Linked DNA regions of Drosophila melanogaster. The protein of the gene in region 3 interacts with the protein of the main gene of each other region in a pairwise test. Each region holds a gene or a part of one and is shown on either strand. Other genes may lie near its edges. The genes, in order: scra, stumps and tum.

The links.
Region 1: the proteins of tum (region 3) and scra interact in a two-hybrid assay, tested with the Drosophila melanogaster proteins (2 studies listed by BioGRID).
Region 2: the proteins of tum (region 3) and stumps interact in a two-hybrid assay, tested with the Drosophila melanogaster proteins (one study listed by BioGRID).

What each region holds. Positions count from the first base shown.
Region 1 is NT_033778.4:7,587,790-7,596,389, forward strand, and holds scra (scraps), read left to right. Parts: upstream 1-2,329; 5' UTR 2,330-2,654; coding exon 2,655-2,672; intron 2,673-2,778; coding exon 2,779-3,093; intron 3,094-3,156; coding exon 3,157-4,084; intron 4,085-4,148; coding exon 4,149-4,514; intron 4,515-4,572; coding exon 4,573-4,744; coding exon of another isoform or gene 4,745-4,796; exon of another isoform or gene 4,797-4,880; intron 4,881-4,905; coding exon 4,906-5,044; intron 5,045-5,111; coding exon 5,112-5,288; intron 5,289-5,349; coding exon 5,350-5,571; intron 5,572-5,628; coding exon 5,629-5,992; intron 5,993-6,105; coding exon 6,106-6,404; intron 6,405-6,467; coding exon 6,468-7,187; 3' UTR 7,188-7,453; downstream 7,454-8,600. Other genes in the region: CG1360 (uncharacterized protein), read right to left, coding at 715-1,182, 1,478-1,745, 1,806-1,900. UniProt on the Drosophila melanogaster protein: Required for cytokinesis. Essential for the structural integrity of the cleavage furrow and for completion of cleavage furrow ingression and proper formation of the midbody.
Region 2 is NT_033777.3:14,589,076-14,595,122, reverse strand, and holds the start of stumps (stumps), read right to left. Parts: upstream 3,504-6,047; 5' UTR 3,154-3,503; coding exon 3,114-3,153; intron 2,842-3,113; coding exon 2,603-2,841; intron 2,463-2,602; coding exon 2,281-2,462; intron 2,120-2,280; coding exon of another isoform or gene 2,117-2,119; coding exon 1,908-2,116; intron 1-1,907.
Region 3 is NT_033778.4:13,855,067-13,861,179, reverse strand, and holds tum (tumbleweed), read left to right. Parts: upstream 1-2,490; 5' UTR 2,491-2,694; coding exon 2,695-2,773; intron 2,774-2,836; coding exon 2,837-3,770; intron 3,771-3,839; coding exon 3,840-4,627; intron 4,628-4,682; coding exon 4,683-4,759; 3' UTR 4,760-5,030; downstream 5,031-6,113. Other genes in the region: CG16935 (uncharacterized protein), read left to right, coding at 1-749; Uba3 (Ubiquitin-like activating enzyme 3), read right to left, coding at 830-2,182; CG6553 (uncharacterized protein), read left to right, coding at 5,428-6,113.

The DNA.
Region 1 (8,600 bases), 6.3 Mb from region 3:
TTATAATTTCAAGACTCTCTATTACAATTTATGTTTGTATATCACATTTTCTTAATATTAAGTAACTGTCCTTAAAATGGCATTATTTCCCTAAGGTAAACTTTTTTTTCCTCATTCTGCATGTGCATGCATACAAGATGTTCGTGCCGAGTGGCTAGTCTGTGGAACCAGAAATCTTCTAATGTGGCAGGCAGATGTTGTTGCCGCAGCTGCCGAGAAATCCGAGTCTTCGGCACAGAAAGGGGTAAGCAGAGGGCCATGGGTCGAAGCCGAGTCTGGAGCCTTCTCCTGTGCGTGTGCTCTTCACAATCGGCGGCAGATAAAGCGGCCCGTCCAGAGCCGATCGGCTGCCCTTTTTGGGCAGCAGTTTTGAAGGACGCGTTCATGGGATGCTGAGGCAAACAACTCAATTTTAATTAAACGTTGCGCTCCGAGAAATAAATTAAGCATGCTGACCAGGTTGGCTGCGCAATATCTGGACAACCTTGGGTCCCCCCGCCTGGACTTGTCTCCGGCAGCAGTGATAAGTGCATAGCCGTTGCGTGATTCGACCCAGAAGACCGGGCGAGTGGATAACAGGTTCCCACCTCGGCTGGCTTTATCAAGCGGCACAAAGAGTCTGATTCTAGTATTGTGCTAACGCTTAATTATGTGCCACAACAAGTATTTTCATTCTTTGTACTTTAATGCATGGCCGGAGCTGTCTTCTGGCCGCTACTTGAGGAACGCTTGGAGGCGATTCTGCTGCGTTTTGCTGGCGTCTTTAAACGCGTTCGACTTCAGCTGGGCAGCTATTTGCAGCAGTACGTTCTGCTTCTGGGTTTTGGACTGCGTTTTTGGTGCGGTGGGCGCTGGCTGGGCAGGCTTCTTCTTTTTCTTCTTCGATGTCTGACTTGGGTTTTGGGAAGCTATGCCGACTGGTTGGGACGCGTTTTTGGATGGAGCTGGCGATTTCGAAGGCTGCTGCTGTCGCTGAGGCGCTTTTTGCTGCATTTTCAGGCCTGCATTGATATCTTTATTCGGCGCCTGAGACTTCTTCGTTTTGGCCTTCTTTTTGTTTTGGCCCGCTGGCGCAGGTTGTGTGACTACCATTGTCTCCTCCGTGGCTTTTACTTTGGCGCGCTTTCGGCTCTTCTCCAGAGCCAACATTGTCTTGTGATGGCAAACATCGCAGTCCACGGCCTGCAAAATGAATTGGGTTGTGGTTAGAGTGGCAGGAATGGGTCCATATGTACACACACAAAACACTGTATAAAGATCTTTCAGCTTCCTTGGTGTTAATTTAAATTATTATTTGCCCAGAAGCTTGATACATAAATTTATATTGCGCTTATAAGGTACTAAACTATCCATCTATACCATTCATCCATGGAAGCAAAGAGATATTATATTTATATTTATGAAATTAAAGAAATAAAAGTATTTTTTCCCACAATCTAGACATATTCTAGACATTCTATTAGCTCCTGGTTCTCACCATGTTACTGGCCATACGCTTCTTGAGCCACTTGGCCCGTTTCCTGGCCCCGCTGTTCATCTCGCCCTTTGCCATCTTGCCCTTCACGGCTTCCAGCTTGGTGATCAGTCTCCGGTTCTTAGCACTCTGCATCAGTTCTTGTGGCTGGAGGTGGAGCTGGTAGCGGCCACCTGTCCACTGGTTCCCGCAGCGGGAGCACATGCGTGCGGGTCCAAAGCTCTCCTCGGGCAACTGGACATTGTGCCGGGCCAGCTTCCTACAGGTGGTTCTGGGTTGTTTTGGAAACGAAATTTTAGTGGGTGCTTAAGGAATTGACAACGGATCTCACATGTAATAGGATTTGAGGATCCGTTCTGTGTGGGTTTGGTCGGTCAGCTTGGAGGCACAGTTCCACAGCAAATTTACTGTTTTTTGGTCACTCATGGCGGACGCTGACAATTTACTGAAAAAACAAATTCTATATATTTAAGCGTAATTATTTCCAGAAATGTTTTCCTACATTAATTAACGAAACCCCAACAGAAAAGCCAAACTTAAAGAGGTAGCCTAAATAGAGGAAACATGCCAAAATTCTAGCCAAAACATACAGCACTGACGGCACAACGTGTGCAGCTCACCAGAGAAATCAAAGGTGCATTTCAAGCCTAATTCCAGGTTCTTAACTTACCAGCTATGCGTGATAAATATTGAAAGTGATACGTGGTAAATTACGGTTGGATATTCATATTATAACATCAATAAAAACCCTTTTTGATAACGCTTTAAGAAAAATAAACAGCTGTCGGCCGAAATTAAACCGGTAAATATGTGTGATTGGTGAACCGGTTTAACCATTGATGTGCGACAGAGCTGCCACCCTGCCAAATACGACAAAGTGGCAGCCCTTGGCAACTCACCACTGGCATTTTCTCCCCAATTTCGGTATTTCGTCGTGGTCAGTTGAGGGTCCTATGGCATTTGCGCGTCGTTTTGAAATTATTCAACACATCTGAAAAGCCAACCGCCGAAACGAGCAGAAGCGACGCGCAGAATTTCGAATGCAAACGGACGCGCAACCCGCCAGTGAAAAACAAACATCAAATATCGCCAACGTGGAGTGTCGAGCAGTACAGTGAATTCAATAGCATAGTGCGCGCAATCACAACTCGCATTTGCATTTGCAGCTGCAGCAACAACAATGGACCCGTTTACTCAGGTACGAGGCCAATTCGCACACAGCAAAGCCCTTTGTCTGGTGATTGCACTGGTGTTAGTGAAGGCACCCGCGGATTTTCACTGCTATTTCCCATTTTCCCTTGCAGCACATGCTCGAGAAGGCGGAACAGCGCAGTCGCGCCCTTGGCATCAGCAATGCCAGCAAATTTCCGCTCGTCGAGTGCAGCGTTCCAAGCTCCTCCGCCACCTCCGCATCCGGCGGGGATGCTGGGGTCCTGGCACCGAGGAGCCGGTCGCCTGGAGGCCAGAGCGCGGCTAGCGGCGGCGGCAAGGTCGTTACGTTGGGAAAGGCCACGCTGGAGGCGTCGCCGGCGAAGCCGCTGCGTCACTATACGGCGGTAAACAAGGAAAACTTGGATATGGGCATAGAGATAAACATAACCACGGACAAGCCAATTGGGGTAAGTTTTCCCGTTCTTTTCTGGGTTCTTCCCTTTTGCTCATCCTTGCTGCACTACCTTCAGGTGCAAGTTGAGATTCAGGAGCAGGAGGTGACAGATGACGAAGAGCAGGCGGAAGGAGGTGCGCTAAATCCCCTGCTGGAGGCGGAACCAGTAAACCAGCCCCTAGCCAGGCTAAGGGACACTTCCCGCAGCCGACTGCAACGCATGGGTGCCCTGTACTCAAACACGGACGATCTATCCTCCCCAATCCACCGAACCGAGGGGCAGTTCCATGTGACAACGGGTGAGGAAGAGGACTGCGGCAACCGTAGCAGCAGGCAACCAAAACAACGGTTGGGCAAACTGGCCGCCTTGGCGGATACCATCAATCAGTGGGAGGATGACACGTCGCACCACGAAGTGCACAGACTGCTCGAAGCACCTCCACCGAAACCGCATTTGTCCAGTCGAAGGGCCGAGAAGGGTCCAGCTCCACTGCCACCCAAGAAGGATGAAGTCGACGAGGCAAGCAGGACCAAGCAGCTGAAGTGGGATCCCAAGGTATTGAGCTCTCTGGAGGCACAAGGTTTTCAGCGCCGCGAATCATCGACCATTAAACACACATATGATTATGCCAAACAGGAAGAGGCGGCCCCAGCCTCCAAAGTGGAAGATGCGGTATTAACTGCCAAGCCGCCAGTGCCGCAGAAATCAACGACGGTCAGCCAGGTCGCCAAGAACTTTGCATCTTCCGCCCCAGCGCCTAAGCCCGCACCAGCGCCTGCTGTTAGTGTGAAGTCCGGCTTGGTTTCCGGACGGGCGGCTCTCTTTGAAAACAAGGGAACCGGAGGACAGTCGCAAGGCCTACGCAACCAGAAGGATCCTTGTGAGCTGTCGCTGAAGGAGCGGATGAAGCTGTTCGAAACGGGCAACAACAAAGCGATGTTGCCGATGGCGCCAATAGGATCTGCTCCCAGTATTACCCAAATCCGAGCGGAAGAGGTGAAACGTGAGTTTGGCAGCCCTTCTATATTCATAATAGCTACTCATACTCATTTTTTTTTTGTTAACAGAACATTTAGCTGCAATGCATCCGGTGACTGCTGCCGCAGCTACTACCGTGGTTGCAGCAACCAAGCCGAAACAGGAAAACAAGCTGCGTGACAAGGTGGCCGCTTTGGTGGCAAATGCGCAATCAAGTGCAGAGACGCGTATCAAGGACATTGATCGCCAAAGGCAGGAAGACATGCAGATTATTTCTAATCGCTTTAACAAACAAAAGGAGCTCTTTGACAATCAACCATCCGATAGTTCTGTGGCTGCTCAAGCTCGACCTCCCGCGCCAGCTCCCAGCAGAGTAGTGCGGCCCATGCCACCGCCTCCACCACCGCCCATCGCTGCTCTCTCGCCCGGACTGGCCAGCAGCAAGAGGCGATCACGTAAGAAATGACTAAACCCTTTATCTAAGGACTTGTCCTTATACATCCGCAATTTCAGCTGGTGATGCGCCCACCACTGACGAGGATTCGAAGCGAGCCCGCAAATCGCATTCGGATCGTCTGTATCCCGCCCTGTCCGACCTCGACTCCAGCGGTGACAACTGCTGCGCCGCCGAAACTGCCTCCGCTACGGATGACAGCCATCAACAGGACGAGGAGGAAACCGAAAGGTGCGCTGAAAAATGCTATTCCTGCTTGCTATTTCTGCTCTGCATCGAGTAGCATTCCAAGACTGATAGGCCTAAGAGACATAGCTTTAAACCCCATCCCCTAGACAAGACCAACAATAAAATCGCTTTCTTAACTAACCGTTTATCTTTGATTCGTGCAGTTGCATGGATGAGTCCGACGACCAGTCACAGACTGAGGACAGTAGCGCCGGCATGTGCAATGGCAGTCTTGGCCGCGAGATAATGAGCGCAGTGCAGCGCAACGAAGTGGAGATGCAGCAGCAGCAGACGGGCAAGAAGGTAAGTGCAGGTAAAAACTGTCAACACAGCGGGTGGTCACCATTAACACGATTTCACACCTTTCCAGACTGTGCGCTATGCGGACCAGGACATGTATTACGATGACAGCTCTCTGAACTCGTCGCAGGTCTCAGCGGGCATCGATGATTATCTGGATGAAGCACTTGTCGAGGACTACGGCAGCACTCAGGATGACCAGAGCGACAGCGGGGACGAGCAAAATGCCAGTCGGCTGTCCTTGGGCGTGAGTACTTGCTGATTAAGTTTCCTCGTATATCAAAACAATTCTTTAATTACATTTTCAGAGCAAAGGAACGACGGCCTCAAACAGCTTTTCCTTCCGAAAAAATCCTGCCTCTATTTGCACGCCTATCGAAGAGCACCATGAGATGGAGATGGACCTGCAGACGCCACTGCTCAGTGGTGCCCAGCCGGTCAAGTCTGAATTGAGTGTCAACCAGGACAACGACAACCTGGTTACCCTGGTGCACACGGTCAGCTTCTATCGCCGCCAACAGAGCGCTAACGTGAGTTGATTACTTATATATCACAACTAACAAATTCTAAGTACTCGTTGTTTATAGAGCTCCAATTCCACACCGGTTCGCAAGATCTGTCGAGAGCAGCAGGTCATGCGATCAGCCCTAGCAGGCGATTGTCATGCCAAGCACAGACTGGAGTACGACTCTCCTCAGCAGTCTGATTATGTCGCAGCAGCAACTGACATAGCTGATCAGACCGACGAGGACGATGAAGAGATGCAGAATGCGCGGGAAGTAAACGATGCATCGCAGGCACAAGACAAGATCAAAAAGCTGTTGAGCGAGGTGTGCAAGCAGCAGCAGGTGATAGGACAAGCCAGTCAGGCCCTCAACCTTTGTGCTGCCACCGTAGAATTCTCCGGCTCCACAGAGTCCGTGGAGGGAGAGCGATATCTCCTTCTTGCAAGTAAGTGTGATCTTCAGTGTATTCAAGTATAAATTGCCTGTTCGTTGAATTCCAAACCGAATTGGCAATTTGAATGTCCAATTAAGCTGAACATCTCTTTAATATCCTTGCAGCCCATCGACGCCAGGCGTGTTTGGATGAAGTCCAGCGTTTAAGAGTTGAGAACAGTATTCGTCCGGTGGGTGCACCAAAAGAAAAGGGCCTACTGACGGTCAAGGACATAACCATTCCACTGCGACAGGAGTACGTGCGTAAAATGGCCTCGAACAACATTAACGGCCATCATCTTGTGTGCCTCCTGAAGTACAATGAGCACGTGCTGGCCACCAAGACAGTACCCACGATGCCAGGGCTGCTGTCTGTCAAGTTTCCCGATGTCCTGCAACTAAACAATGTATATGCTGACTTCAGGGTAAATATTGCTTTTTGCTTCTTTAGCCAATATTCGATTTTATTGCGAAAACTTCGTCTGCAGATCACGCTAGAAATCTATGGCATGTTGGCCCAACGCGATCAGCTGCCTCACGAGCTGAAATACCACATCAACTTGAACAAGAAGGGTGGCATCAAGACGCCAAAGAAGAAGGGCGGCGAGAATCGACTGGTGATGCCGCCAGTACAAAGTCCGGCGGGACCGCATGTGGTACGGACACCGCAGCTGGTGCAATACGGCTTTGCCATTTTCTCGCTGCGTGAAATTCAACGCACCACATGGACGCTGACCCAGGTGCTGGGCGTCAGTCCACTGGAGGGTGTGGTTCACATGAAAGTCAATTGCGAACTATCCGTAAGCGTGGAGTACAAGGGATTCCTTACCATGTTCGAAGACATCTCCGGTTTCGGGGCATGGCATCGTCGTTGGTGCTATCTGAATGGCTCCGTGATCAACTACTGGAAGTACCCGGATGATGAGAAGCGCAAGACGCCAATGGGTAGTATAGATCTGAATTCCTGCACTTCGCAGAAGGTGACCACGGCACCGCGCGACATTTGCGCCCGTCTCAACACCATGCTGCTGGAGTGCGAACGGCCGGCGCTGGAGACAGACCAAGAGTCCTTGATAATCGTACCCAACGGACGTACCACCACGGTGCGCCATCTGCTCTCAGCCGACACAAAGGAGGAGCGCGAGGAGTGGTGCGCCTACCTTAACAAGGCACTGACACTGCTGCGCGCCTGGGGAACCACCCACTGACCCGCTGACCCATTGCAATTTTGTCAGCAGCACGGACAATGACCACAAACGGGCGGGTTGTTAACAGTTTTCTCTTTTTAAGTTACTCAATTTGCTATTTTAATCGTGTTCGCATTGGTATTAATTTTGTTTTATGTTTCCAATTCAAATTTTTCGTTTCCATCTTGGAGTGGGACACGTTCGTGTTCGTCTATATCGACATAACTTTTTACTTATGTACATTTAATTTAGGATGACTCGCTAAATATATATGTGTAAACCCCCGTAAAAAGAACTAACGCCAATTGTACACTGATTATTTAATATAGTTTATTGAATACTTTTATACACGTAGTACACATTTACATTCACATATGTATATCGTTTTGCAAGAACTCGTGGCTAAGAAGAAATCGCTACGTGGCTTCCGCGTGTTAACTATCTTTTTATCTCTGACCATCCGGAATCTAACAACAAGTGAAAGTTAAAGCTTGCGTGTTATCACGACGCCGGCTGTTCTAGTGCCCATCTCGGCTTCGGCACCAGGTTTTCTGTACTGTGTAGGTGGTTCATGTCAGGTAGTCAGTGTGTCTGCTCCTTGGCCATCTCAATTGACTCTGGGTGGAAGATTGTAACTTCCTTGCGTTTGTCACTTGGCCTAAAGGTCGGCCTAAAGGCTATCTACAAAAGTGGATTACGCATTGCCGCCGGCGGAGTGTTCAGTGTGGGTTCCTCTAGTTCACAACACTATCAAATGTATAGATATATATTTCTCGTATAGGTATATATGTATGTATATATTTTGACTTGAATCTGCTGTTAGTTGTAAATCAACATCCAAAATATTACAGTTTGCCAGATATGCAGGATATACTTGTGCTTTGTACAACAGTAGCAGCGCCCTCGGTGGATCGGGTTTGGAATGCAATTATATATGTATATAAATTATGTACACTCTCTGTTGCAGAAGGCGGAAGGAGGGGGGAACATCAATCGAAGGCGAGAGCAGCGTAGCTACTGTTTGGTAATTCGGCATTCGCTGGATTCGGATACACTGCCTCAAACTGCTTTGGATACTCCGCTTAGCAATCAAACTGTCAACGTTCGCTAGAATATTAGGGCTATAATACTGGGCATATTTCCATATACGTAACATGTCTTGTCTTGACTAGTCTTGTCAGGACTTGTCTTGTCTTGTCTGTACTGTGTGGCTTGCCTGTGTTAGTTGGTGTTGCAGTGCAGTGGCAACGCAAAGATAAAGCTGAATTTCGATGCAAGTCTCGGGGCTGCTGAATTTGGATTCATCTAACCTAAGCACTAAACCGTAATCGGTGGCCAATATAAAATTGAAAAAATAATTGCCTAAGCTTACTCATATTCATATTCGTGTTCGTGTTTGTATTCGCATGTTGTGTGCGTGTCGTGTTCGTGTGT
Region 2 (6,047 bases), on a different chromosome or scaffold from region 3:
CACGTTTGAAGCATACATATCTATAGGTTTAGGTATATGTACATATGTGTACCGGGGAGTCGGAGTCCGCCCATCAATTATGCCGTGTTCCGTTCCAGCCAGTTGGTTGTGCCTTATTGGATGTGCAGTTCTTCAATTTATGCTCCTCATGCGGCCACACCCACCGCCCACGTCAAGCGATTCGTTTGTTGACTCCACCATCCGCACATCCAATATCGCCCATGTTGCCCATCCGCCCCGTTGCCAGCAACATAATAACAAAATGCAATGGCCATTGTTATTGAAAGAGCGGAAATGCGTATAACTTATGCCAATCGAACTGGCAACTGCAGTGGGACACTCGCAAATATGGCAGAGATATTCGGTTCGGTTTGTTTTTACTTTGCCATAAATTTAGGTGTTAGAAATGAATTGTTCGTGGGTGTTGTGGGTTAATTGCCGATTGAGGCGAATTGCCTAGTTTCCTGCATATGGCGAAAGATTCGAATGGATTGCAAGTGACCATAGCGATAAGTGTGTCGAATATGGTGGGTGATCATTTTTAGAATAAGGCGCTGTGGGCAACCGTTATTATAATTGATAACAATAACAATAAGGGAAAGAATCTATTGTTTTTATAATAGTAAAAACTTTAATGGCACACTTCTAATAAATTGCGGCACTTCTAAAGCAGATCTACATGCTCTGAATTTCTATGTATGAAACACTCCTCAGTATCTCATCTACTACTTATTTCTCATCTCTTTTGAGACTCGAAAATCGCGCTGGATTTAAACGTCACACGAAGTGCCTTAAATCAACTTAAATCATCAGATGTCATGAAAGCGAAACCTTGAAAACGCTTATGATGAATACACAATGATCGTGCAAAGGAGTCCTGAGCGACTCATAAACCATAAACCTGTGACTTTTGCTGGACATACGAGTAAACCAGGAGGCCTTTCCATCTTGCATGCAACTGCCCACTTTAGGGGCATCCATCACACGGAGGACTGTCAATGTCAGGCCAGTCGCGAAATGTCAGTCAGCCAGGAAGGCGCGTTGCCAACAATCAGCTATATATACGCTCGATCGGCTATATGCGATCCCCTCATTACGCCACAAAATCGAAGGCAAACAGAAGCTCCACTCCACTGCCGGGGAAAAACAATGCCAAAACAAAGATTGGCGACGCTCTGGCGACAAAATACTATTACAATTATCACTTGCGTAAACATTGCAATGTTGTTAACGTGGTTTAAATGTGAGGGCGAACTGAAAGGGGCTGGGTAGTGGACCCAATTCCATGGCGCCTGCCAGGCGAAAAATGAAAAAACAAATTCCGAAGAGCTGGCAGTTGCGCTTAATATGCAAACGTGATGCAAAGCTGCGAGGTAAAGGTTGTTGGGCAGCCACTGGAGGAGTCAACAGGGGGGAAAACCCCAGAAGGGAGGACTTTTGGGGCATGAAAATGGAGTAGCAGGCAAAGGGGAGTGAACGCCTGACAGCCGCCAAAGTGCAAAAATGCGAACGCGAAACGAGGGCAGGGAATGCAATTTGCAACCACTTTGTCTTTGTCACTGCGTCGGCTGAACTTGTGGGGCATATTAAAATAACTAAAAGTATATTAGACTCGAGTAAATTAAATAACACAGCAATAAGCAGATATTTAAAAAATAGCTCTCAAAGAAAATTAAAAATTTGTGAGCCAAAATTTATTCCTTTAGGGACATAACAGCCATATCCTATAATCCATATACGTTTGCTGTCAACTATCGACTTTTCTATTATCTGAAAACTTTGCTAAACGATTTCCATTTACATGGATTACTTCTACTTATTGAGCCCAGATTAGCATAGGAATTCGCGATTGCCCCGTGGCATACTGAGCAGATGGGAAATGCAAGTGTCGTGGAACGTCAACTCACCTCTTCGTCGATGGGAACTGCCGCGGAATTTGTTTGGCGAGAGGAGCGGCGGTCGAGGCGCCATCATGCTGGGCACCTCATCCGGAGATCCCAGTCCCATTGCTCCAGAGTTCTGTTGATGTTGCTGTTGATGCTGATGTTGGGCCCAGTTTCCCAGGGAATGGCGACGAGTTCCGCCACTTGGCAGGGTGTGATGTCGATGCGATTTGCTACTGAGGATTGGTCGCAAAGATGGGGGGTGGGGGGAGAAAAGAAAGGGCGCACGATTAGCATGGGCGGAAAAGGGGGCGGTTCGAAACTGTCAACAGCTGCAATCGCATCCTGTCATCACCTCACCCTCCCCATTAAATGCTCGATTCTGGGGATTGCTCACCTTGTTGGCGATGTCAGCGGATTGAAGACCTCGTCGTGATCCCCAGCTACGGATGCACCTCCTCCTCCGGGACACTGGGAGCTGTGGGTCTCGTTGCAAGAATTCAGGCGTTCCCGGAACTCTGAGTGCGAATTTGCAGATCGCTGGCGGTACATGTTCATCGTCTGCAGTTCAATCGCGTGCTGAAATGCGCAAAACGGAAGAGGACGGCACATTAGAAGGGCTCACTCGACTCCACAGGAAGTGGCAGATCCAGCAGATAAATCAGAATCAGTATTCCGAAATCGGAGATCGGAATATGCTCTATTAAATCGCTACTCACTTGCGGATAGCCGGCGAGGGAATTGAAGCTGCCCCGCGGACTTCCTAATGCCATGGTAGCCGTGGTATCCAGATTGGCGGATGTGATCAGTCGCATCTGTTCCGGATTGGTCATCACCAGCGGCCGGGGGCTGCTGCCCTTCGAGTTGCGCCGCTTGAAGATCGAGAATCCCCGGCTGGAGGACTGCGAGTCCGGGGTGCGCGGCGACTTGGTTTCATTGCAAAAGTAATACGGGTTGTCTGGGGAGTTCAATTGCAATAGAATGAATGAGGAATGGAGTTAGTTTTCTGATTTGAACTTATCAAAGTTTGAGGATGTGCTTATAAAGTATAATAAATAACATTTATTTAATATCATATATGTACGTTTTTAATCTGTATGAATCTCTGTATCTTTGTATAATCTTTCGCTTTTGCTCATACTTTCTAACTTAAAACTTTGATATTTGTTACAATTCTTTTCGCATAAAGAAACTTATAAAGTCTTTAAGAAACTCTTTCACTCTTTTTACCTGAGAAGAAGGTGTTTGTGTTATCCACAGTGACAAACATCTTGAGATCCTTTATGCAGTGAATTTTTCCTTAGTTGATATGCGATTCGCAGAGTCTACCACAATTCAGAGCTCTGATTTGCGATGCATTTGCACTTTCACTGGCTGCGCATGCGCACGCGCCAAAAGTTGCGCACAGGGCGCGAATTCGAGAAACCGTAAACGGAAATCACAACGGGGAGTGCCACAAATGGCAACTTAACAAATTGTCAGTTTGAAAAAACGGGGCAAATAAATTCAAAATTCAAATTTAGGCGGCAATGCAAGTTCGTGATGGTTCGACTTAATATTTCACTTCAGTTCACTTGAGTTCGCGCAGTGCGTGCGTCTGCATTGACATCCCGAAACGGAATAAATTCTAAAACTTCAACGAGAACAAAACACTCCGCGCCGTCTGCATTTTCCTCTGCCACCGCCGATGTCTCTGTCGACGTCTCTGCCGACGCAGAGAATCCCTCCTCGTGTTTTGGTTTTTATTTACCATACGCGCACTTCTTCATCCATTCCCATTCTCAGCGTGCACTGATAAAAATAAATATACCGAAAAATCCCACCTTCTCATATTAATATTTTCTTTCGAATTCTCTAAGCGAAACTGTTAGGCATAATTTTCTTAATAAATTCAGATACAAAAAATTACTTGAAATAAGTACCACAAGATTTTGAACTGGATACATTAATTAAATAAAATAATAATATTTAATCGGTAAATTTGATTTCTTTATGTCTGTTTCTGTGTCTTCACTAATAAATTTGTACATCATTTTGAGAGATCAATCAATTCTCATCTCTTATTTTCTCACAGTGCAGCGACATCGGCAGCAGCATAAAAACATTGCATCTCTCCCTCGCACTCTCACCCCATCTCGCTCCCGCCCGCGCACGCACACACGCATACGGGATCAGTGTTTAAATATGGTTGCCATATTGCCATCACCCACTCGGTACTCCCCCACCCCTAGAAACCGATCGGCGATCAGGAAAACTCACTTTTCCTCGACTACAACGACTTTGTTGTTGTACCTGCGCATGTTTTTCTTTTGCGTGCGCTTTTCGCATGATCAAATTATCATCGCCAGCGCGCTCCGAGTCCATGATTTCCATGATATCCATGATTCCCTGTCCTCTGTCCCCTGTCCACTGTCCCTGTCTCCTGTCCCTTTCCCATTTTCCATCCGTGAGCGTACGTTTTGTCTTGGTCTCGTCGTGCATATTTGATGAGTTCCGATAGCAGAAATAGAAGACCCATCTAGCATATAAGCCAACTTGATGTGGCGCACATAGCATATACCATCATCATATATATTGTAGCATCTGAGGTGAGCCCCCCGGTTTAGTATTCCCCATGTTCTATCAGTGTCAAAGTTTGAGTTTGTGCGCCGAGTGTTGTCTGTGGTTGGGTTGGTCTTCAATTCGATGATGTTCACTGTCAGGAAACATTTATGAGACGTTTTTCGGGAGGGACCATGAGAACTCACCTTCGCAGAGCGGTGGGAGAATTAATCTTCCAAAATATCATGGGAAAAAATACAAAAAAAAAAAATTATACAAAGAGTTTTAGGATGTTTGATGATACAGATGCCAGAAATTCATCAAAAATATGATGATTACTTACGCTGTATATTAATATATTAGCATAAAGTAAACTCATATTTGGAGCATTTCTTCAATTGTCCTGAAGATACGCAATATTTGCCTTTCGACTTTATGGCAAATATGAAAATTGTCATCAATGTTGGGCCGAAAATAGAAGGCCATAATAGAAGCTATGGCCAGGCGACATATTCCAGCCACATTAGGGGAAACTCGAGAGCATCAAAGGCAGAAAAAAAAGAACGCGCATCGGAAAAGGCACATTAAAAATTGCAGCCAGGGGAGAGCAACAATTGTGCTAAGGGAACACATTTTCACATTTTTCCCCAGTGCAACTAGGAAAAAAAAAACTGAAACTGAAGCAACAACTGAAGTGGCAAAATGCTAGAGAGTCCATGTGGTCTGTCCGTGGAATTCCTAAGTGGACTGGGTCTAAAATCGGGCCTGCCATCGATACTGGGCCAACAACCAAATAACCCCTACCACACAGATGCCCGGCATATTGGGACCTATGGAAAAATCGTAAAACTCGGTACCCGAGCAGAAATTGCACATTTCGTAGTCCATAAAGGCGAGAGTCTGCCATCGAGGGTTGATCTTTGAGTGGCGGCTCTCTGCGGAGCAAGTGACTCTGCAACGTTACACTGGCAGAAATAACTTTAATGTTATATAATATAACACTTAGCATGTTATATCCTGAAAAGTTAAGATATTAACAAATGTAATGAGTTTCTTAAACATTTTAAATATTTCTCCCAGTGCAAACGTATTTGTTTGGCTGCTGCTGGATGCAAATGATCTTGAACCACTAGGGTACTTGCACTTGCAGCCGATTGCCTTGCTCGAGTACTTGGGCAAATGCATTTGCTGCACATAAATGTCAAATGCTTGTCTTCGCCAGCACGCTCCACGTGTTCCGCGGACGAGGAGGGTCTGCCAGGGGGATCTGGACTCAACTGGCGAGTCGTAAATCTGTAGACGCTCTACTGCAACGCGGCTTTGTCTAGTTAGTCACAGAGTGGAGCATCCCAACCCGGCTTTGTGCTGAGTTTCCATTTCCCTTGCCACGGGGATTGGGCGCCATTCGCTGCACTTTCGCTGATTGTTCATCGGTGTTGACGGGTTAATCACTACTACGCACCGCCTAGAGTTCAATAAATTCCCCGTGTTTTTGTTGTTCTCTGGGGTCAGTTATGGAAAAGTTCAATAGGGTGTGAATATATATTGTACATCTACCTACAAAGATGCATTTTGGTCTTACCAACAGAGGTTTGGATTATTAAAGATATTACTCTACCCTTT
Region 3 (6,113 bases):
TTCCCTTGGCCAGTGGCCTGGGCACCTGGACCACCCATGCCGTCTACAAGGAGGATCAACTATTGATCGTGTCCAAGAAGGTTGGCTTGGCGGAGGCCGCCACCTCGACAGTGAATCCCACCACTGCCTACCGAATGCTAAAGGACTTTGTGCAGCTCTGTCCGGGTGACACGGTCATCCAAAACGGCGCCAATAGCGCCGTCGGCCAGGCAGTGCACCAATTGTGCCGAGCCTGGGGCATCAATAGCGTTGGCATTGTACGCGACCGCCCAGAAATTGCCGAATTGAAGCAGATGCTGCAGTGCCTGGGAGCCACCGAGGTCCTAACAGAGGCCGAAATTCGCACCAGTGACATCTTCAAGTCGGGCAAGTTGAAAAAGCCCCGTCTGGCCTTCAACTGTGTGGGCGGAAAAAGCGCCACGGAGGTGTCGCGTCATCTAGACAATGGCGGAGTGCTGGTCACCTACGGCGGAATGTCCCGCGAACCCGTCACAGTGGCCACTGGACCCCTCATTTTCAAGGACATTGCATTTAGAGGCTTCTGGATGACTCGCTGGTCCAAGGAGAACTACAGTTCACCAGAGCGTTCGAAAATGTTCAAGGAGATCTTCGAGCTGATGGAGCAGGGAAAGTTCGTGGCCCCCAACCATGAGATGGTGCCCTTGGCAAAGTTCAAAGACGCGGCGGCCGCTGCCTTGAGCTTCAAGGGATTCACCGGCAAGAAGTACATACTGGATATGAGCATTTAGATGCGTAACTCGAGGCTAAGCCTGCTGTTTATTTACATATACGACTTGTGTATTAAAATTGTTATCTACTGTGATACACTTTAGACCATCTCCACCTCATTGGACTGATACTTCAGCTGCAGAGTCATGGCGGACGGCGAGGTGGCATCGGTGACTGTGAGCTGCTGTCCATCGTGTAGACCCAGTTCGCCCAGGCTCTGAGTAAGGTTCTTTCGGGTGGCCTCTTCAATGCTCTTTACCCCGGACATGTACAAAGTCCGCCGCTTGCCGTCCTTCATCACAGTGGTCAAGGCTGGGCTTTTCAGCTGGAAACGCGGGGAATCACACAATAGCTTTATCACATCCTCCAGCGTGGTGGTGTTGGGATCCTCAATCGGCAACGGCTGCGGTGTATTGCTGCACGCCAAGCAGTTTTCCGACTTCTCGGCCTCGTAGGTGTAGGTATAGATTCCGTCCAGGTCGTTGAAGTTCAGGTAGTTTGCCATGCTGTCATAGCAGCTGGTGGCCAACTTAAAGACCTCCAAAGCACAGGCGGCGGCAATGGCTGCATTGGTACTGGCCACAGCTGGAATGATGTGCTTGACAACGCCCTGGACCAAGCGATAGGTCACTCCGGTGATGTTAAACTCATTGGACCGCTCCAGTGCCCGTTCGTAGATCCAACCAATGTGCTGGGGATCGTCCCCATCGAGGGGCACTCCAAACGGATTCTGTTTCTCCCACTGTATGATCTTTACGTACTCAATGCAATGCTCCGGAAGCCTGGGAGTATTTGCTATGGTGCATAGGGGATAGTTGACCTGCGGCGGGAACAGGTCCAGCGTGCACTCAATGCAGGCCGTGAAACCGGGCAGGATGACGCGTGCGTTCCCCTTGAAGCCCTCGGTGCCGCCATCAATCATGGGCACTATGGAGCTGGTATCTATGGTGCCGTCCTCCTCATATCGCAGCATTGATAGCAGCATGCCATTGATCCAACGCCGGGCGACAATGGAGTCTAGGCCACAGACAACCAGGTGGAACTGCTGATAGAAGGACTCATCGAAGTCCTGGATTTTCTTGAAATGCGGCGTCACCCGGCAAGTAGGCACTCTTGCGTTGATGAAGCGAGCCGCACACTCCGCCTTGGAGGCGCCAATGTCTGTGCGACGGAACAGAAACTGGCGATTCAGGTTGGACAGCTCGATGGTGTCCATGTCGATGACGTGCAGGTTGCCGAAGCCCATCAGAGCCAGATCCTTCAGCAGTTCGCAGCCCAGGCCACCGGCTCCGATGATCAGAACCTGGCACTTGGTCTGCAAGAACTCCAGGTTTTCCGACGAGGCCGCGAAACCGTCCTTGCAGAAGGGACCTTCGCGTTCCAGGATGTTCCGCAGTCCATTGAAACGCTTGCTCTGGAGGATTAAGCCAGGATTGGGTGAGTGGACAGACATTTTTCAAACAAAATCGAGACTGTGATTCGTTTAGCAACACTACTCGGGTCGGAATAAATATTAGTGATGGTAGCTTATGTGAATAAGAATTTATATAAGACATATTGTAAATAAAAAAAAATATTGTAATTATATTATTATTAATATAATCATTTCAAAAGTATTAATAGGATAACATTAAATTATTTTTTATTTAATTCCGAAAGAATTGTTAACTTGAAACAATCTCTATCATCTCTAACACGATCAGATCGATATTTTCTGTTAGCATGACTACCCTACTGTTATTTCGAGCCACCCATTAATGGTCACACTGCGCAGATGGCGTCAATTTGAAAACAACGGAACTTGAAAAAATTCAGCGCGTCTTTTGCAGCGTGCTCCGTTTGCCACTCGTTTTTGGGTAAATACTACTGATTTTCAGTAGATTTCGAAGTTGAATCAAGGAAACCAGTGTGCAGGCAGTCCCTGCGAGTGAAAACCGATTCGTAGAACTACCGAGACAAGCAAAAATGGCGCTCTCCGCATTGGCGTCCTTCGATGATCTGCGACGCTGCATGCAAGTGCTTACCGATGGAACTCCTGAGGAGGGTGAGTAAAACTGAAAACACGCAAGGCAAATGAAGCCCTACATGATGCTTGTATTCCATTTAGAGTTCCTGCGGTTCTTGCGCATGTTCGAGCAGTACCACGAAAAGTGCGCGGGCTACGCGGCCGAGACGGCCAGGATACAAAACGAGCTGGACAAGTCGTTGACCAAAATGGGCGACCTGGAGGGCAAACTCTTTCACGCACGCCGCATCATCGACATGGAGATCAAGGCGCGCCGCCAGGCGGAACACGAACGAGATGCCATGGAGAGCAAGATCATGGCTGTGGCAGATCTGCTGCGACACGAGCGCAATCTGAACAACGAGACCCGCGACAAGCTGGCCTTTCTGCACACACTGCCCTCGTCGCGAAAGCGCAAGTCCCTGAATGCCGTGCGGGAGGACAAGTCCTATGGCGACATCAACTCCACCGGATCGTTGCTGTCGGATTTGTCTATTACACACTCCGAGGACGACTTCCTCGATGTGCGCACATCAAAATCTTGGCGAGAGCATCGTCCTTCGCTGCCCAAGAACCAGATTCCTAGCGTTGGCAACAAGAGATCGCGATTGAGCACTGGACTGAATGGCAGTATGTCCGGGACTACACCAACCACTGGCAAATCGCGGCGCTCTAGCGTCGGAATCGGAGTGGAGCAACACACGGTGGACGTGGGTCAAGGCGCTGAGCGCTTTTGTGCCACCACCAAGGTCACCATACCCCAGGATGGACAGGGCGTGATTCGTGCAGAGTCGACCATTGAGTCGCTGCCTGTAATTGCCGGCAACGAGAGGATCGGCGACGGACTATCCTCGACGCCACGGCGATCGGTGCTTAAAGAGGCCACCGCACCGCCGCTGACGCCGGTAAATGCTATGGCACCTCACGTTGTCGCTGAATCCGGAACGCCACTGCAGCACCGTCCACTGATGAGGAACCACACCTTCAGTCAGAAGACATTCTTGCGTGGCGACAATTGCGTTCAGTGTCAGAAACGGTAAGCTTACTAGAAGTTCTGCTCCAAGTAGGTTTTTTTTATTAATTAAATACTTTTTATACTCTTCAGCATACGGTTTGGAGCCGTTGGGCTGAGATGTCGGGATTGCCCGGTGCGCTGTCACATCGATTGTCGGTATCTGCTCACCGTTAGCTGTGTGCCGCAAACGGGAACACCGACGACGAAGACCATGACTGGCTATGTAACGGACTTTGCACCATCTATTGCACCCATGATCCCGGCACTGATTGTGCACTGCGTAAATGAGATTGAAGCCCGCGGCCTGACCGAGGTTGGCCTCTATCGATTGTCCTCGTCGGAGCGGGAGTACAAGGCCCTCAAGGAGCAGTTCCTGCGAGGCAAGGCCACTCCACATTTGGGCAACACGGATATCTATGTGCTGTGCTGTTGTGTCAAGGATTTCCTGAGGTCCCTAACAGAGCCTCTCATTCCCACCAGCCAATGGAAGGATTTCGCAAACGCAGTCCAAAATCCTGACACCAAAACTGCCCAGGATATGTTGGTTAAGTCGGTGAAGCAGCTACCACAGGCCAATAGGGATACGCTGGCCTTCCTCATACTGCACTTCCAACGAATTGCCCAGTGCCCAGTCGTGCTAATGCCGATCGATAACATCTCGCTCATCTTTGGCCCCACCATTGTGGGCTACTCCACACCAGATCCCGACCAGCATGCGATCTACACGGAAGTTTTCACCCAGAAGCAGGTGATGAAGGCACTTCTTGAGCTGCCCGTTTCGTTCTGGGAGCAATATATCGTTATAGATCCGACAAGAACACCGGCCACAGTTATCAAGCGGGTGCCAAGCAACAAAAATGACTTACTCTCGCTATATGGTGAGTTATTTATGAGCTAATTTTTTTAATTATTCTAATTATCTCTCCTTCACAGCAACTCCCTTCAAAGGAGGCACCATTAAGAAGCGGAAGTTTTACGGCACACCGCCGGCATCTGCGCACAAGAAATAACGAGACTTTCCTTGTTGGAAAGCATTTGACGTGTTACTTAAGTTTACTTCAAGTATTTTGCAAGTTTTTTGTTTCCGGCCAGCCAACCCCGAGCTGTATTTGTACCCAACCCAACCATAAGCTTTTCTTTATAATTTATGCGTTCGATTATAAACTAAAGCACGTTATTATCGTACTAACATAAGTATACTCACCAGAGAAATAAACTAAAATATGCATTTGAAAAGCAATAAGAACAATGAACAAATATATAAATAAACGATAAAAGAATATAACAAGTTTTTATTCAAGTTCAAATATTTTTGAATCTGTTTAGTGAACTTACTTTTTTATATTCTTGATGGCAAATTATTGGAGGCATGTTAGTAACCAAAAGTATATTAAACATTTCCGGATTTGGATTTGGAAACGGGAATGTTTCGCCACAAAACGTGCATCACAACTAATGGCAAACTCGATACAACTTTGGAATATCCCTTTGATAGGATTATCTAAAAACGTGATAAGCTCGGTCATTGAAAATACTGACTGCCGCTCAGAAAACCCCATGACTGATAATTGTGCACAGCTAGAGCCGTATCATCATCAAACTGGTTTGGACAACTCTCGTAATAATACCCTTAACTGCGCCATGGAACCGTCAGTCTGTCGATTGGAACCCATTTAGAATGTTCGGAGCGCATCAGAATCTCTCAATTCAGCTGGTGATTTTTCTCTCCTTAGCCGTCACCATTTGCTTGGGATCCCAAAATGCCACAAGCTGCGGGCATCGCTGTGGAGGAGGCGACTGTATCCAACTGGACCAGCTGTGCGATGGGAGCGCCAACTGCTTGGATGGTTCCGATGAGACGGTCGCCATGTGTGAGAAGGTCTGGTGTCCGGGTTATGCATTTCGCTGCAGCTACGGTGCGTGCATAGCCAGCACAGCGGTTTGCGATGGCGTCCAGGACTGCGTGGATGGTTCGGATGAGCAGGGTTGGCTGTGCCGGGCGCAGATGCAGCAGGCTAACTGCGACAACTGGGAAATGTACTGCTCCTCTGGCCAATGCATGACCTATTCCAAATTGTGTGATGGCATCCGTGACTGCCGAGATGGAGACGATGAGCTGGAGTCCCTTTGCGAGGGCGTTACCATACCAACGACTACAGTCAGTTCAACGACAAGTACAACTACGGAAAGTAGTATCCATAGGATAACTCCCACTGTTCCTGTAACAAGGAAGGCGTCACGACCAAATCCTCTTCAGGAGAACGGGGAGTGCGTGGTTCCCCAACTGCCAAACGTTATGGTTAAGCACTTCACAGATGCAATCCTCACTGTAGGATCAAGGGTAGCCAATGGCACCCGTATCTA